2 linked regions of the Astyanax mexicanus genome follow. The protein of the gene in region 1 interacts with the protein of each later gene in a pairwise test. Links are inferred from orthologs where the notes say so. Each region holds a gene or a part of one and is shown on either strand. Other genes may lie near its edges. The genes, in order: ccdc57 and tmem100a.

The links.
Region 2: the proteins of ccdc57 (region 1) and tmem100a interact in binary tests that used the Homo sapiens proteins (3 or more experiments, as listed by UniProt). The two-hybrid records come from large-scale screens. The link is inferred for Astyanax mexicanus from reciprocal best matches to the Homo sapiens genes CCDC57 and TMEM100.

Annotation. Positions count from the first base shown.
Region 1 is NC_064422.1:34,932,300-34,941,859, forward strand, and holds the start of ccdc57 (coiled-coil domain-containing protein 57), read left to right. Parts: upstream 1-6,156; 5' UTR 6,157-6,260; intron 6,261-7,620; exon of another isoform or gene 7,621-9,560. Other genes in the region: csnk1db (casein kinase I), read left to right, coding at 596-766, 1,491-1,639, 1,770-1,938, 2,327-2,469, 2,996-3,028. UniProt on the Homo sapiens protein: Pleiotropic regulator of centriole duplication, mitosis, and ciliogenesis. Critical interface between centrosome and microtubule-mediated cellular processes. Centriole duplication protein required for recruitment of CEP63, CEP152, and PLK4 to the centrosome.
Region 2 is NC_064410.1:16,763,551-16,772,983, reverse strand, and holds the start of tmem100a (transmembrane protein 100), read left to right. Parts: upstream 1-5,538; 5' UTR 5,539-5,667; intron 5,668-7,730; coding exon of another isoform or gene 7,731-8,240; intron 8,241-9,433. Other genes in the region: octapeptide-repeat protein T2-like, read left to right, coding at 7,731-8,240. UniProt on the Homo sapiens protein: Plays a role during embryonic arterial endothelium differentiation and vascular morphogenesis through the ACVRL1 receptor-dependent signaling pathway upon stimulation by bone morphogenetic proteins, such as GDF2/BMP9 and BMP10.

The sequences.
Region 1 (9,560 bases):
AAAATTAAATGAGTTGACACTGTGTGTAAAGAATTGGTCAGTTTTTTGAAGCAGAATTGGCAAAAATACTGTTCATTATTATACATGTGAACAAAAATAAAAATAAACACAATAGACGATATCATGATCATCATGTTTTACTGAGGTCATGTTCAGTTATTGTACAATAAATCGACAATGTAATTATTGTGACCGGCCTATTCCTAGTGCTTTATTTTGTATAATGTAGCTGTTTTAAACTTGCACTGATAGTCCAGATATGGCATTATAACTGTTAAGCGCTTTTAAGTTGGTTCTCTTATAACCATATGGATAAAGTCAAATAACAAATTGGCATTTTTTTTATTTCCTAAATTCATGATAGGATTTTATTTCTTCTCTGAATGCAGTTAGGTGGAATCACTATCCATGCTTGAGTGGTCCTGTGTATATTTTTATCTTATTGGGAGCACCGCTGTGTGTGCACATGTGCAAATACTGCCTTCCCTTGACATGACTGCCTGCTCATGCGTACTGCAGCAGAGGTCTCTGAGCTCTTTCCTCTAATGTGCTTCCTTACAGTAGTGTGTATGTGTGTGTGTGTGTGTGTCCACAGAGCAGTCCCGGCGTGACGACCTGGAGTCTTTGGGCTATGTGCTAATGTATTTTAACCTGGGCTCACTGCCATGGCAGGGTCTGAAAGCTGCCACAAAGAGACAAAAATACGAACGCATCAGCGAGAAGAAAATGTCTACTCCTATTGAAGTTCTTTGCAAGGGCTACCCATGTATGTATTGACTCTGATGCTGCTCTTTAGAACCTGCATGTCTGATGCTGCATTCCATTTTAACTTTCCAGTCGGAAATTTAAGCTGTAATGCCCTCAATAGTGAAAATTCCTACTACTTTATAAGTTTAACAGGGTTCAATATTCAAGATGGCTGCACTGCATATGAACAGTAGTAAAAGTAAATCGCTTCAATAAGTTTCAATTAAGCTTGCACCAGGTTTTCACTATGGTTTATTCTGCTACTCAGCCACAGACATCTGTGCATAATTGAAGCGATTTTGGCCAATTGGAGCACTTAATTTTCACCCATCTCACGCTTCACTCAGAGAGATTAATGATGAGTTTGTCTGAGTAAGTGGCCACTCATGCGGTCACCCTCTTTATTGCGTGACTGGTTAGCAAGGACTCTAATCCAGCTAGCTACCTATCGAGCCATGCTTCATTTGATATTTAGATGTGCAAAATACTTAGAATACTAGTGTAATATGGTATCAACTGGCATCTCTAATCTGTGACGTTAAAATGTGAAAATATTGTGGTTGGATTAGTCATAAAACACTGGTAAAAGATTGACAAACCAGTAATGACATAATTTCCAGCTGTCATTCAACTTCCGAGTTAAATGGAATGCAGCGTTATTCATTGTTTAAAAGAAAGACGTTCTGTATTAAAGCTGTTAAAATGTGCAAATCACTGAGTGATTTATGTTTGCCTTCCTCCAGCTGAATTTGCCACATACCTCAACTTCTGCCGCTCACTGCGATTTGATGACAAGCCTGACTACTCGTACCTGAGGCAGCTCTTCAGGAATCTGTTCCACAGACAGGGTTTCTCATACGACTATGTGTTTGATTGGAACATGCTTAAGTTTGTAAGTAATTTGTACTAATAATCATTTTCTGCTTTTTGTGAATGAAGAGCAGAGCATTTATTAAACTGTGTTCAGTACAGTAGTGCCTGTACAGCGTTTTAAGACGGTCTGTTGTAACTCTCTCACTAAGGGTGCTAACCGTGCAGCAGAGGAGGCTGAAAGAGAGAGGAGAGACCGGGAGGAAAGGTTGAGGCACAGCAGGAATCCAGCCCCTAGAGGCATTCCATCAGCCTCAGGCAGACCCCGAGCCACACAGGATGGTGCACCCCCAACGCCCCTTACTCCAACCTCACACACAGGTAAACACAGATACTTTTTCACGCTTACCATGCATTGTGAACTGTATTGCTGAATCTGTAATATTAGAGGTATGCAGTCTCAGTCGAATGCCAACCAATGACTAAATACTGAAAGTGAAAAAGGTATATTTTGATATTATCGATTAGCTTCGTCCGTCCTGTTAATGTTTAACTCGTAGAACCCAAGACAACATGCCAGTATTCTAGGCTTCTTACAATTCCTACATCATTATTGTGTTTATTAAGCAAAGTTAATTTGGAGTTTTTTTTTATTTTTTTTATTGGTAACAGCTTAGTTTAAGGGCGAGAAAAAACAATGGTATCAGGTTGGTGAGTGTGTGCAGTATAGTACTACACCTACTAATTTTTCTAATCTCTTATTTGACAGCAAACACATCCTCACCGCGACCTGTAACCGGCATGGAGAGGGAGCGTAAAGTCAGCATGCGGCTTCACCGCGGGGCCCCAGTTAATGTGTCCTCTTCTGACCTGACCGGCCGACAAGACACCTCCCGCATGTCCACGTCACAGGTACAGGCTAGCCCTGCTCCTGAAAAGCCCACAGAAGGCCCTGGCACACGCACAAGGCCTGTCTAAAGGCTTCAGCATTTAGAAAAACCCTTAATAAACGAAAATAAATGAAGGAAACCTAACATCTGACTGTGTCTAAATATGCCTTATCATGTATATAATGTTTTGAAATGCAAGAATGCTCTTTTTTTTATTGCACTTTATAATAATTATAACAAATGTGCCAGAATTTGTCACAGCAGTGTTTGATATCACTGCATATTTTAGTAAATGTCAATCATTTGTTGGACAAATTTTGCTTTATAGGCATCTTTGTTGCAAACATAGGAATTGTGTATCAGATTATATCTGATGTCAGAATTAGTCATAATCCATTGCTGTACACACACCAGATGTCATTTGTATACAGTAATACATATACAGAATGCTTTTCACTATTACACAACTCTTCTCTGACGAACCGCCCACCTACAAATCAGTCATGGAACGAGAAAGGGTGCTATAATGTTCTCTTTCTTCACCTCAGAATAGCATTCCCTTCGATCATCACGGCAAGTAGCTGCTCGCAATGTGCTTGTGTGATGGCAGCAGCACCTGGTGAGTTTTACACATTACATATCTCAGATTTCTGTTTGCATTTTATTGCAATCAAATCATACCGTTCTTTAATTGTGATCCTGGAAATGCACAGAATGTGTGATTTTTGGATTCTGTTTTTCTTGTTTAAGATTCACTCTTCATGTCCCAGAAGCCTCCACTCTGCAATACGGAGTGCAGTGGTCAACCCATCTGTACGCGGCTGATTGATGGCTCTGCTGTTCAAAAGCGGATAAGCAGGGCTATCAGTCTCTCTTCAATCGACATAACCAAAATGGTTCAGAACCAACTTGACCTCTTTAAAGGTCTCCTTGCTCTCTCTCTCTTCTCTTCTCTTCTCTTCTCCTGTCTTTGCTCTCTCTGTTTTCACTCTGGTAAATACACTATGTACACACACACACACACAGATTTGTGATCACTTCTATCAAAGGAAATGTTTATAGACAGACCCAGCAGAGACTGCATCAGCCAGCCAAACTCCAGTGTCCTCGACACTGTTGTCTTTCTTCATACTAGTATGTTGTCTGTACATCTGCACTGCTTTTCATAACCTTTTCCGTCCATTACGTGTTTTAAGGGTTTTTCCCTAAGCTAATGTATTTAACTTGTTTAACTGATTCCTTTTTGTTGTACTGTATTTTTTAAGCTTTCCCATTTCAAAGTTCCTTTCTTATAACATGTTCCATATCTGGGCTTGTTATAATTTTATCTGACCAATTATAATTATTTTATTATATTTTGATAGCCCTTTCTTTAACTGGTGGGTGGTATAAAATGGGTTCCTATTGCATGGTCTTACTGGTGTTTTCGTATGGACAGACCGCTAAGGGGCCAAAATCTCATTGTTTCTTAGTTATGAAACTAATCCGTCACTGCATCATGTGTTCTGCAGGACCATGTGAAGCTCACCATCCTGTCTAGCTTTCTTAACTGCTGTATATTACTGCCTCTCCCTTGTTGTATCACTTTTTTCTATTTCCAAGCTGTGAAAATTGTAATATATCCATGTAAATGTTTTTCATTTTCACTTAATAGAGACTATGAACTAGCCACAAATCACAAACTGTCCTGGAGCATTAGGGGTTTTCTTATTTTGCACAATGCCAATAAAATAAAGTGCTGGACATCAGAAGGATTGCCAAGTATAAATCTAAAGCCTGATTTTAAAACTTGAAAGGAGCATATTGGAGGTTTCAGAAGGGCAGGGGAAGGAACATGCAAGTTTCAGCTTGATTGTTTGTAGATGCTTTTTTGACTAAAGTCAACCCATGCTGAGGTTGTCTTTAGTGAGATGATGCTGCCTCAAAGCAGTCCAGCAGTGTGAAAGGTGAGGAGGGAATCCTGTCTAAAGAATGTTCCAGCACTGATGTGGCTCAACAGATGTACCCAAAAGGTAATTCTGGGTTCTATGCATCAAGCTTCTCAGGGAAAGTGTTCTGATCTGAGCTGCTCTTATTGTTTCGCCACTTTGACATCCTAATTAATAACGGTGGATTGGAGGGAGCTGCTTTTTGATCAGTGTCCTTGCATTGAGATGTCTGATGCGTATGGGCCTTGCTCATACTTCCTTCTAATGTACCCGTTACATCTGAAGAGAGCAGATGTCTCAGGCCGGAATCGGTGAATAGCGTCACGCAGGTCTTTGAAGCCCATGGCCATTTTGGGCTCCACACTATTGGTCTTGTGAAGTCATGCCAATCTATGAGCCCTACTAGAATTTGTATCACTGTATTTGTGCACCTTTTTGTGTACATGTGTAAATAAATGAAATACTTGTATTAACGGATGTCTTTGGGTTTTATTTTATTTAATTTCTTTTTCCCCATAAAGCTGCACCATAGATTTGTTGTTCTTGTACGTGTGGCGGGGGAAAAATAATCTAGTTAAATATAATTTGGAATTGCTAGTAAAGTTTGTGGGCATTATTGCTTTGGGATAAGATATTAGATGAACTTATATAAATTATAAATTATACTTATGGAGAAATTATACTTTTCTGAAGGTAAACCTGTGCCCTGTCTGCCCTCTAGTGGTGAATTCAGGTAATTTGGAATATGAGTTCAAGAGTCCATTTGAAGTGTTTTATTCAGCTGTTTTGACTTGTTAAATCTGAGTTTTTACAATGAAAACAACACCATCCATTTTCTTCATAAATATACAAAAGTAAATATACAGCACTTCTAATAAATTTGTTTAATCGTCTTTTAACAATTGAATCTTATCCAGATTATTTTTTGTTTATATCAACAACCCTGCTAAAAAACAATCATTCTTTCATACCAAGAAAAACATAGTTCTATTAATAATTAAAAGCTTAAATAGTGCAATAAAATTCGTGTCGATGGATGGAGAAGTAAACTTTCAATCATACCTGTAGGTGGCATCATTTTTCAACTAAAAGTTTTTCTGTTGAAAGAAAGGAAAAAAAAAACACTTGTCAAACAGTGTCTGTCAAAAACAAAAAAAACTTAAACTGACTACTTTACAAAATATAGGAATCTTCTTTTTTAATGATTTGTACTACTTTAAAAAGACCTGAATCACATTTGCAAAAGATTTGAACTGCTTTTCAGAATACTCATCTCTTTTCAATAGCTCCAGATCATGTTTAAAAACCTGATTCAAACTATACTTTGCTTCTACTGGAGATAAAATCATTTTGAACACTGATTCTAATCACTACCAAATATTTAAATCTTTAAAAAAAATTCAAACAACTTTTTAAAAAACTGTTCTTGAATCTATGAGAAGACCGAACCCCTCTAAAGGGCACAGAGCACTGCAAAAATATTTTAAACAGTGATTAAAATCTTATTTAAATTGTATTTGAATCTTCAACAGTGAAGATAGAACAAAGAGCACTTGAACGTTTACTCAAGTACATGTCTAGGTAGCATCCACCATCTTTTTTAACGATTAGTTTCCGTCCCAAATCACCTCCGCTTGCTGCTGTTCACCTAAAGAGTCTACCCTCTGGTGATGTCAACAACACGCAGTGCAATTGGGCGAGAGTTTTATAAGGGCGCGCGATTTAAAGAGGCACGCTATTAGGGACACAGCCAATTTCTCAGCCTATAGTCCACCGCGCGCTCTGCACGTAACATACTAGCAACATAAACACCACAGAGAAACTGAGACAAACGAGAGAAAAGTCCTGCTCTGGGTCTTCATTAAGGCAGTATCTGCACTTAAGAGTAAGTAGCTGCTATCTAGTCCTTTCAAACACCATTTTTGTCCTCACGTGAAGATTTTGATTGTTTGAATTTACGATTCCACCTTAAATACTGCTGTGGCGTCGCTCAGGCTTTAAATTTAACATATTTAGCTTTTAAGGTGAAACAGAACATTCATATAAGAATACAGGTGTAGTTTTGTGTGGACAGAAATCTTTGCACAACATAAGCAGAAATAAACTCTTAAAGCACTTAAGATTAGTACAGACTCAGTGTAACACGTATGCCATATTAAGGTGGGATAAAAATGTTATGAAACTAAAAACTTTGTGGCTTAGTAGTAAGAAATTACCTACTCATACATGAGCACTCTGCAGGTATAAGGAAGTTAAATGTAAGACTTTTTAAGTCTTTATAATACCACTGAAAAAAAACTAAGGCCATTTTCAAAATTACAAAATACACCAAAATACATTTAAAGGCTTTACAGTAAATTTGTGAATATTGGATTTTAAACAATATTTACACAAAAATTAACTTGCAAATAAAATCTTAACATTGCAACATGTGAAAATAAAAGCAAAACTGTTTACTGTCTAACACTTTCAAGACCCTCAGATTTAGATTGTTGGGTGGCCTATGCCTTAAACGTTAACAGGTACAGCTCTAGATTGTGTATGGTAACAAGAGCATTGTGTGTTTTGGCTAGCTTTTAAATTTGCTGTATAATATGTTGTTTTGGACCCCAGACTATTAATGATATTATGTGATATGTGCTGCATTAGCTGGTGTAATGGGTTTTTCATTTGTGTACTGTAGACATTATAGTAAGCAAGAAAGATGCTGTAAGGATTGTACAACTGTGTTTTACTGGTTTACACCCTGAAAAAAAAAACATCACCCAATTGTCATTGTATAATTCTCACCCTGGAAAACATTACTGCAACCTGCAGCTGCTGCTGTATCTATTGTAATATGTTTAGATATAAGAATTTTAAACACGAAAGCACCAAATAAAGAAGCGATGACTGCAAAGTTACCCTCTTTGTAATCAGAAATAAAAATTTGATTATATTAGATTTTCTACACATAGAATTATCAGCATTATCACTCAGACCTTATTACTATAAATAACATTCTCATTTATGCTCCATGTTGTTTATAACACAGTTAATGCTTTGATTTTTTTATTCTTAAAGATACAGCTTTGCAATATTCTTAGCAGTCTGTAGAGCAACTGACAATAGATAGTTCATTACAACTGGAAGGACATGAGACTTGACTTTTACTTGTAAACATCCTTGCCACTCAGGGTGCCAGATGTAAATAGAGCATGTATAAAGCTACACAGAAATGTAAAAATAAGATGTCCACAAGTGAATGCAGAAGTATATTTATTTCTAAAATAAACTCCAATCTATAGGTTTTGTGTAAAATAATCCAGGTGTAAGGCACAGCCAATCGCATTTTTTAAAGCATACACAAAGAACACCATGTACACTCTGCTGGTTAGCAAATAAAAGTCACACCAAACATACTGGTGACCAGTGAAATGTCTCTTGGCTGATACAAAAAAACTCTGAAAAATACCAAGTATTTAACATACCTTTAGTGCAGAGTTGTCTTGAAGAGTGACAAATGCACTATAAGAACAAACGTTTTGGGACACCCTTATTGTTTCTTCTGAAATCTTATCTTATTATCTGCCTTTTGCTGGTTTTTGTTTGTAGCTGTCTGTACTGCTCAGAAAAGGCATTCCACTAGATTTTGGAACACTGCTGTGAGGATTTGATTGCATTCAGTGACACAAGCATTAGTGAGGTCAGGAAATTGGATTGTCCCCACCCTCACCTTAGTACTGGTTAAAGCACCACTACTCCAGAGAACAGAAGGGTGGTGGGCATTAGGCATAGCGCCAGCAGATTCAAGTTATCTGAAAGTTAAAATCTATTGGCAGTACTTCTCTACATGGTCTAGACAAGTTGTGTATGAGTGCATTTGCACCTCTGTGTCAGCAATGTGTGCAGCTTAAAGTAGCTGAATGCATTCATAAGAATTTGTTGTCCACAAACAAATAGATATATAGTGTATAACGGATGACATCTTCAACTAACAACAAAATTAACTACAAATCATGTCATGTTTAAATACTACACTTTGAAGAAGATAACTACACAGCTGCCATAACTGATGTCCCAAAGTTATTTAAGTTGGTACAGAAAAAAAATGAAATAAGTAATGTGCAATAAAATAAAACTAACAGTTTATCACATCCACACAGTCAATCACACATCAATAAAAATGCTGGTACCAGTACCAAAGGTGACTTTTTTTTAAACAGCTATCTGTAGCTAATACATCACAAAAATACCGTAAGCTCTCTATGCTCTAGAGGTGTAGAGGTATGACCAGTGTTTCATGTTCCCGGCCCTCAAAACCCTGGTTCGTTTTTTTCTGTAGTAACACACCTGATTTAGCTCATAAATTGCTGGACAACTAATGAGTTAAATCATGTGTGTTGAGAGGGGTGAACACATTAAACACCCCAATACTCCAAGGTTTGCTCTTGGAAACATTGCTATAAGGTATACATTCATCTGTGTGAATATGATCCCATGTTTAAAATCATACTTATCTCTCAAAAAAAAAAAAAAAAAAAACAGTACTATCTGTGCTTCACTCTCATCTACCCCAGACAGAGTACCTGTTACACAAATCTGGATTAACTGAGACAAACAGGACATACACCTACATTTAAAACACAATAACAATGGACATATTATGTGTTCTCATGCTCACTCAAGGACAGCTTAGCCACAGACAGTTCTTTACAGTATACCTAACTGACACACGTTATACTGTACAGTACACAAGCAACACTGTGTGCCACAGACAATTCAACATGTAATAAATACAATAGCGCTGATGGCCCATGAATGATTACTGGCCAAAGTTGTGGTTTCAAATCTAAAACGAGGTGCTAGACTTTAATCCGTTTTAATCTTTCCCCTGCACACGTAGTAATCCATGTAGTCTCTTTAAATAGCACCTTATCCCTTCTTTACATACTAAGTTCTTAAAGGGTGGGCTCAGCCTAGTGGATTTAAAATGCACACTTGCCACTTAAACTTTTTTCTGTTTTTGGCCTGTAAATACATACAGTTTTAAACATTCCTTGTACTTAATCTTTAATTTATACTGTTTCTTTTGTTCGATAGACTGTAATTAATTTATTTACAACCCCAAATCCCACAAAGTTGGGAAAATTAAGTATAGAAAATTGCCGATAAAATAGTGTACAATTCCTTTTTATCTTTATTT
Region 2 (9,433 bases), on another chromosome or scaffold:
GAACACAGTTCACATTAGCGTGTAAATCATGATTGTGTTGGCCAGCATAGTCCAGGGGTGGGTTTCCCGAAAACGATCAATCTTAGCGGATAACGAACGAACTAACGAATGACGTGTGTAAAGAACGAGCCAGTTCTGCGAGTGTTTCCCAAAGAGCTTCGCAACGTGAAAATTAACGAACGAGGTTAAAGAACATCTTTGTTGACTCCTCCCCCGAAACAGCGCGCTCAATCGATCCACAAATATCGATTCAACACTGCCAATATGCAGTATTTATTCACTATTACACCCTAAAAACGTAGAAATGTGTTGTAATTAACAACATTATACTCCTAAAGATACATATGACTAAATAAATACTCGAAAATCTAATCTATTTTAAAACATTAAACTTATTTTTTACATTTTTAAAACTATTATTGTTAATATATATTATATAAATATATATTATACTAATATTATTAACAGTAATGTTGATAGTAATATTAATTTATTATTATTCTAATTTTTAATATTATAAAAATAATATAATAATACATATGTTCCTGTGTGTGTGTGTGTGTGTATATATATATATATATATATATATATATATATATATATATATATATATATATATATATATATATATATATATATATATTACATTTTAAACCAACAGAATTATGTTTTGTACTTTATACTGTGAAGCTCCAGCTCAACCTAAATCACCATCTCAGTTGGGTTTATGTCAGGGGATTGTCAAAGCCATGCACCTTTTTGTCTACTAATTCCATTTGCGTCAATTAGTTTTCATGGTTTTAATATTAATCGACAATGTAAAAAAAAAAAAAACATGGAATGAGACGTGTCCAACTTTTGACTGATATTTGCGAGCTGACACACCCCAGAGTTTGCCCAGATGAACTTGGTGACTTTGCAGCTTTGCTTAGACCGTGAGCATCATCTGCAGGAATTGACTGATTGCATTTCTTGCAGCATTAATGTCAAGACTTCTATCATCGCTAATCTGGATTTAAATAATTTACTCGTGGGTTTAATTGCCCAGTTAGACTACAAGCCACAGTTGGCATTATAATATAATATAATATAATATAATATAATATAATATAATATAATATAATATAATATAATATAATATAATATAATATAACTTATTCACTCATTTACTCACTCGTCAACCGCTTTATCCGTTAAGGGGTGCGGGGGGGGGGGGGGGGGGGGTCGATGCTTGGTGGCTGGAGTCTATACCAGCTGGCATCGGGCTGAAGGCAGTATACACCCTGGACAGGATGCCAATCCATCACAGGGCAGACAGACACAGACAGACACACAGACACATTCACTCACACCTAAGGGGCAATTTTTATCCGACATCTAATTAGCCTGAACTAATTTCTTTGGACTGTGGGAGGAAACCGGAGCACCCGCAGACACGGGAAATAATATAATATAATATAATATAATATAATATAATATAATATAATAATTATATAATATAATAATAATTATATAGTAATATAATTGATTATAATTAATAGTAATATAATATAATATAATAATATTAATAATTATATAATAATATAATTGATTATAATTAATAGTAATGTAATATAATTGCTTCAAACACGGAAATTATAATTTTTCTTCCACAAAATTGGCGGTCCCTGGTGTTTAAGGTGCTGAACTGCAAGTCGAGATCCCCTAAAGAAGCTCGTTAAAAATAACGACTGGGTGAGAGCACTCGTTAATCTGCGATCGAGTTTACGTAGTACTTTAGTTACGCACGGGTTTGGGAAACACTCTTTAATTAACGATCAATCTTAAGTACGAGTTAACGAAGTTCTTAGCCTTACGAAGCTTTCGGGAAACCCACCCCAGATCTATTAATTGACTAAATTAGCTAGCCTATTAGCTTACCTGTTCAGGAGAAAAGTTGCCAGCGCTGTGTCGGTCTTGTAGTCTTTTTAAGCTCGAAATCTACTGTACCCTTAGAACTCACTGCCAATATTCACTCTTGTTTAATTCATTCTTTAGTTGCTAAACTTTTTTTACACATGCCAAAGGCTTTCTAGGCTGTGTAGAAGCTAAGGTTTTAGCTGAACTCTGCTTGCTATCTTCCATGATGTAACACCGATTGATGGCTGGCCACCTCAGGGGTGGGGTAAGTGTTGGGGAATGAGCAGCAGGTGGAGTCAGAGGACAAAACAAACAGATACCAGCCAAGATCTGCACAGTCCACATAGGGACATACTGGCTAAAGTGCTGCTGCAAGAGCTGCCAGTGCTTTAACTTAACATGTTTCTTTATTATCTGATGATACATACTGATCATTTTATCATTTACTACAGAAAATTAATTACAAATTGGTCCTTTAAGGTTGTTTTTCATTATCTACATTAAAAGCTGTAATGCAATTATTTGCTGTAAGGGTTAAAGGCCACATATGAAGTTGTATTGAGACAGAGGGTCAGAAGTTTGAAATGATGCTGGGATGAAAAACAACTGTAGCTGCGTGCAAAGCGCAACCGGAGGAGCAGCGACTGGCGCTTCTCGTGCAGAGACTGAAAATGGATCAGAAACTAGTTTTACACCTAAATTAACAAGATTTCACGAGGTCTAATCCACAAATATACTCCGTTTTGAACGTTTTGAAAATGTTTGGAGAGCTATTAAATAACAAATCAAATTGTTATCATATCACAGCACTAAATTTTTTAAGACCTTATTCTCATGTATCCCAGATACATGTTTTAAGTGATATTACTGTATCATTTTGGAGTAATTGGATACCAAACTTAGGAAAAATGTCTATTCGGTTTTGTATAAAAAAGATTTCGGAGTGCTATAAAACCAAAAAAATCAAATTGTTATTAAATCAAAACATGACATCCTTAAAGAATACCTTCCATACTATTAATGTCATGCATTTCAAGTGATTGTATTGTATTATTTTGGAGTAGTTGGATACCAAACTTAGGAAAAATGTCTATTTGCTTTTGCTTTTTTTTTTTTTTTACTTTTGATTTCGGTGTCCTATAAAACCAGCAAACCAAATTGTTATCCAGTGCCACCAAGACAGTCTTAAAGAACACATTCCATACTATTAATGACATAAGTAAGAAATTATATTACTGTTTTATGCTGGAGTAATTGGATACCAAACTTAGGAAAAATGTCTATTCGGTTGTGCATAAACCACATTTCAGAGTCCTGTAAAACCACCAAATCAAATTCTTATCCATTGCCACCAAGACAGTCTTGAAGAACACATTCTATACTTTCAAGGACTTGAGTAACAAGTGATATTACCGTATAATTTTGGAGTAATGGGATACAAACTTAGAAAAAATGTCTATGTTCTTTTACATAAACCAGATTTCAGAATCCTGTAAAACCAGCAAATCAAATTGTGACCAAATGCCACTAAGACAGTCTTGAAGAACACATTCAACATTATTAAAGACAAGAGTAACAAGTAATTTCACTGTATCCTTTTGAAGTAATTGGATACCAAACTTAAAAAAAATGTCTATTCGGTTGTGCATAAACCACATTTCAGAGTCCTATAAAACCAGCAAATCAAATTGTTATCCAATGCCACTAATAATATCTTGAAAAATACATTCTATACTATTATTGACACAAGTATCAAGTGATATTACTGTATTATGTTTAAGTAATTAAATACCAAATATAGGAAAAATGTTGATTTACTTTTGCATAAACCAGATTTCAGAGTCCTATAAAGCCAGCAAATCAAAATTGTTATCTAATGCCACTAATAAGGTCTTAAAATACATTCTATACTATTATTGACACAAGTATCAAGTGATATTACTGTATCATTTTGGAGTAATTGAATACCAAACTTAGGAAAAATGTCTATTCGGTTGTGCATAAACCACATTTCAGAGTCCTATAAAACCAGCAAATCAAATTGTTATCCAATGGCACCAAGACAGTCTTGAAGAACACATTCCATACTATTAATAAAATGAGTAACAAAGAATATTACTGTATCATTTTGGAGTAATTAAATACCAAATATAGGAAAAATGTTGATTTACTTTTGCATAAACCAGATTTTAGAGTCCTATTAAACCAGCAAATCAAAATTGTTATCCAATGCCACTAATAAGGTCTTAAAAATACATTGTATACTATTATTGACACAAGTATCAAGTGATATTACTGTATCATTTTGGAGTAATTGAATACCAAACTTAGGAAAAATGTCTATTCGGTTGTGCATAAACCACATTTCAGAGTCCTATAAAACCAGCGAATCAAATTGTTATCCAATGGCACCAAGACAGTTTTGAAGAACCCATTCCATATCAGTAATGACATGAGTAACTATTGATATTACTGTAAAATTTTGGAGTAATTGGATACCAAACTTAGAAAAAATGTCTATTCGGTTGTGCATAAACCACATTTCAGAGTCCTATAAAACCAGCAAACCAAATTGTTATCCAATGGCACCAAGACAGTCCTAAAGAACACATTCCATACTATTAATGACATGAGTACCGAGTGATATTACTGTATCTTTTTGGAGTAATTGAATACCAAACTTAGGAAAAATGTCTGTTCGGTGTGCATAAACCAGATTTCCGAGTCCTATAAAACTAGTAAATCAAATTATCCAATTAATCCAAAATGATACAGTAATATCCTTTGTTACTCACGTCACTAATAGTATGTAATGTGTTCTTCAAGAATGTCTCAGTGGCATTGGATAACAATTTGATTTGCTGGTTTTATGGGACTCCGAAATCTGGTGTATATCACCAGGGGTGTAGCAGCAAATGCTGGGCCCTGTACACTCTCAATGTCAGTGGGCCCCTATCCATGCCAGTATACAAGGAAGGTGAGCGAAAAAAAAAAATCTGGATTTTCATGGGCCCTTCTCCCTACTCGGGCCCTGGGTAGTCAGGTCCACTTTTCCCCCCACTACCACACCCATGTATATCACTTCAAACATGTATCTGGGATACATGAGAATAAGATCTCTAAGAATTTATTGCTGTGATATGATAACAATTCGATTTGCTTATTTAATAGCTCTCCAAACATTTCCAAAACGTTACACTGTTCTACAGATAAGCAGTGGTCTTTCTGGAGTATATTTGTGGATTAGACCTCGTTAAATCATGTTTATTTAGGTGTAAAACTAGTTTCTGATCCATGTTCAGTCTCTGCACGAGAAGCGCCAGTCGCTGCTCCTCCGGGTGCGCTGTGCACGCGGCAACCGTAAAACACGGTTTAGACGCGCACTCCAGTTTTCGGTGTAGATAGCGCGACCGAGCGTTTTCTAAGTGCAGATGGCGTGACCGCGGTCTTTTTTTTTATTCTACTACAACCTCTTACACCCCCGACACACTCTCTTTCACTCTCTCTGTCTCTCTCTCTCTCTCTCTCTCTCTCTCTCTCTCTCTCTCTCTCTCTCTCACCCACACCGTTCTCTCACACACTCCTTCCCTCCCTCACACACTTACTAAGACACACTAGCCCTCCCTCCCTCCCTCTCTCCCCCCTCTCTCCCTCTCTCTCTCTTTCTTTCTCTTTATGAGGGGACTTCAAGTTTCTCCACAGTTCAGTTCAGAAGTAAGTGAAGATCAGGATGGAGACTTCCTGAGAGGAGCTGAAAACGCTGAGCAGGTAAATGACACACACACACACACACATTGGAACCAACACTCTCTTAGGAGTCTGTTACCCACCTCTGTCCTCTCGCTCGCGGTTCCGTTTGTTAGAAGTTGTTTTCTTGAGCTCTGTAACCGGTGTTCTGTCGATTTGTGCTACCCTGTCAAACTGTGCTACCCTAGTGTATATTTAAAGGTAAAAATCCCAGAAAAGCACCATATTTTAAAAGAATTAATTAATATATAAGGATACAGTTAAAAGGGAATAGGCGTGATTATATTTTGTATTTGTATTACATTGCTCGATTATTACTTGTTATTATTATTATTATTATTATTATTATTATTATTTACTGCCATTTACACTCCATTCTACAAAAAAAAATACATAATGACAGAGGAGGGATTAAGGTTGTTGAATATGCACCACCTAAAATTCAGTAGAACTACCACAAAACATGGGAATATAAAATACATTTGGGTCCGCGCATGCGCACTTGTTTTGAGAAGCCCATTTCGACGTGTAGCACATGTCGACACCCGGTACCGAATAAACACCGCTATGCAGGTCTGTAGACGCTCTGATCTACAGAAATGTAGGTCGTAAATTGGGGTGACCAAAACTCAGCGTCAGGGACATATCTAATACTAACGTTTAAATAATTATGTCAAGGTAAGATAGTAGTCATGGTGACTAAAATTCAACGTCGGCCAAACGTCTGCTAATGATTGTAGCGCAAAAATCATTGATGATTGTTGTCTGTTTGGAAAATATGGTTTTTAGTAAACTAAGTTTGCATTTTGATATCAATCCTGTGTTGGAGGACAAAAATATGACAAAAATCTTCAAAACATCTCACGCGTCATTCAGTGTCATATTGATGTAAAATATCAACATTTAGGCTGTTCTTATTTCATTAGGTATGCTGACTACCTGTAACTGTAGCAAATGTAATGTAAAAAACGTTAAAATACCTAAATTAAATATCTACAGTCTAACTTTGGAGCTTGATGTCTGACGGATATGTGACTTTTATTCTAACTAAAATTCAAAATGATATTGTCATATCATAATATTGAGTTTTGCACTCAGCTTGATTTATTTTTTATTGCAAATTGATATCCTGGGTCCACACAACACCAAAAACACGACACGCAAATGTTTGCAGACATCTTTTCTAAAAACAGATAAACATTGAACTATGCCTAATGCCAGGCATGGGTATAAAATGAAAAGGGTTTTAGTGCACTTATGTTCTCTGGAATGATGGTGCTTCATCCAGAATTAAGATGAGTCCTGACCTTGCTAATGCTCTTGTCACTGAATGCAATCAAATCATCACAGCAAAGTTTAAGAATCTAGTAGAAAAGCTTCCCTGGGCAGACTTTTACTCAAACAAAAGCAGGATAAACTCTTTTTTAACACCATTGGTTTTGGAAAAACAATTGTAAACAAATGTTCCAATACTTTTATCTGTGTTGTTAATTTTATTTTCAGTTTATTATATGTAATAGATCATATTATGACACAGATGATTTCACATTATGATAGTAATTTTAATTTTGGTGTTATTATAAGCCTGTATTGTGTCTTTTTATTGTAAAAAAATCTGTTTTATACTTCATGATATGGCAGGATCACTGTTACTGTTGTGCAAGTGTTGAATTGTTTGCATCCTATACATGAGCGTTGAGTTGTCTTCCGCTTTTGGTTGATTTAATATTCGATTTAAGATTGAAAATCGCCCAGATTGCTCTGATAGGCTCTCATACTGCAGTGTATAGGTTCTGGGAAAGCGTGCACTTACCCCCATGGTTTTCATGCATATTGATAGTGGCTCCCTGATGGCTACAAATCAGGATATTGTATATCTGCTTGTGCATAGTGAGTGAGTGACGGATGTAGAGTGTGACTGGGGTGTATCTATGCCTCTTGACACGATGTATCGCAATGGAAAAATATGACAAAGCCAGAGCAATAGTGGACGAGAGGCAGTGGAAAGGGAGCAGAGAGAGAGTGGGGAGGAGGTGAAGATGGAGAGGCAGTGAAGAGGGAGAGGGAGCAGAGAGGAAGCAGAGATGGAGAGAAATTGGAGAGGGAGCGCAGCGGGAGCAGAGAGGGAGAGGGAGCAGAGAGGAAGCAGAGAGATAGAGGAATTGGAGAGGGAGCTTAGCGGGAGCAGAGGGAGAGGGAGCGGAGAGGGAGCAGAGAGGGGGAGAGAATGGAGAGGGAGCGAAAGGGGGACGGAGCAGAGAGGGGAAGGAGGCAGAGAGGGGAAGGGAGCAGAGAGGGCGAGGGAGCAGAGAGGGAATGGAGAGGGAGCGGGGAGCAGAGAGGGAGAGGAGGCGGAGCGGGGAGCAGAGAGGGAGAGGGTGAGAGCGATTGGAACGGGAGTGGGAGCAGAAAGGGAGAGGGAGCAGAGAGGGGGAGAGAATGGAGAGGGAGCGAAAGGGGGACGGAGCAGAGAGGGGAAGGAGGCAGAGAGGGGAAGGGAGCAGAGAGGGCGAGGGAGCAGAGAGGGAATGGAGAGGGAGCGGGGAGCAGAGAGGGAGAGGAGGCGGAGCGGGGAGCAGAGAGGGAGAGGGTGAGAGCGATTGGAACGGGAGTGGGAGCAGAAAGGGAGCGGGAGCTGAGAGTGATAGAGAGTGGAGAAGGATTGAAATAGAGAGATTGTAGAGGGAAAGGGGAGCAGAGAGGGAGCAAAGCGGAACGGAGAGGGGGCAGAGAGGGAATGGAGAGGAAGCGGGGAGCAGAGAGGAAGCAGAGAGGGAGAGGAGGCGGAGCGGGGAGCAGAGTGAGAGGTGAGAGTGGGTGCTGAGAGTGATAGAGAGTGGAGAAGGAGTGGAATAGACCAGAGAAGGAAATGGAGCAGAGTCGGAGCAGAGAGGAAATGGAGTTGGGAGAAAAGAGCAAGAGGAGAGGAAATGGAGAAGGAGAGGAAGCGGGATGCAGAGAAGGAGCAAAGAGGCAGAGGTAGCAGAGAGGAAATTAAGAGGAATCGGAGAGGGAGTTTACTCGGAGCAGAGGAAGAGGGAGTGGACAGCAACAGGGAGCAGAGATGGAGCAAAAGTGGAGAGGAAGCTGAGCTGGAGAAGAGAGAGGGAGCAGAGCGAGAGCAGAAACAGAATGGAGAGGGAGTGAGGAGCAGAGAGGGAGAGGGAGCAGAGAGGCAATGGAGAGGAAGCAGAGTGGGAGCGGTGAGGGAGTGGACAGGATGAAGGAGTAAAGATGGAGTGGGAACAGAGATGGAGAGGGAGCAAAGTGGAAATGTGGAAAGTGAATAGAGAGTGTGGGGAGCAGAGAGAAAGTGGAGAGAGAGCAGAGAGGGAGTTCACTGGGAGTGGAGAGAAAGAGGGAGTGGACAGCAAAAGGGAGCAGAGATGAAGCAGAAGTGGAGAGGGAGCGCTGAGGCAGAGGAAACGGAGAGGGAGCGAGGAGCAGAGAAGAAGCGGACAGGGAATGGAGAGGGAGTGAGGAGCGGCAAGGAAGCAGAAAGGGAGAGGCATCAGAGAAGGAGTGTAAAGGGAGCAGAGAGGAAATTGAGAGGCAGCAGGGAGCAGAGAGGGAGAGGGAGCAGAGAGGCAATAAAAATGGAGCAGAGAGGGAGTTGACATAAAGAAGGAGTGGAGATGGAGTAGAAACAGAGAGGGTGTGGAGAGAAAGCAGAGAGCCATTGGAAAGGGAGTGTAGAAAGAGTGGGAGCAGAGAGGGAGCGGCAGCGGAGAGGGAATAAAGAGGGAGCGGGGATCAGAGTGGAGGCAGAGAGGGATTGGAAATGGAG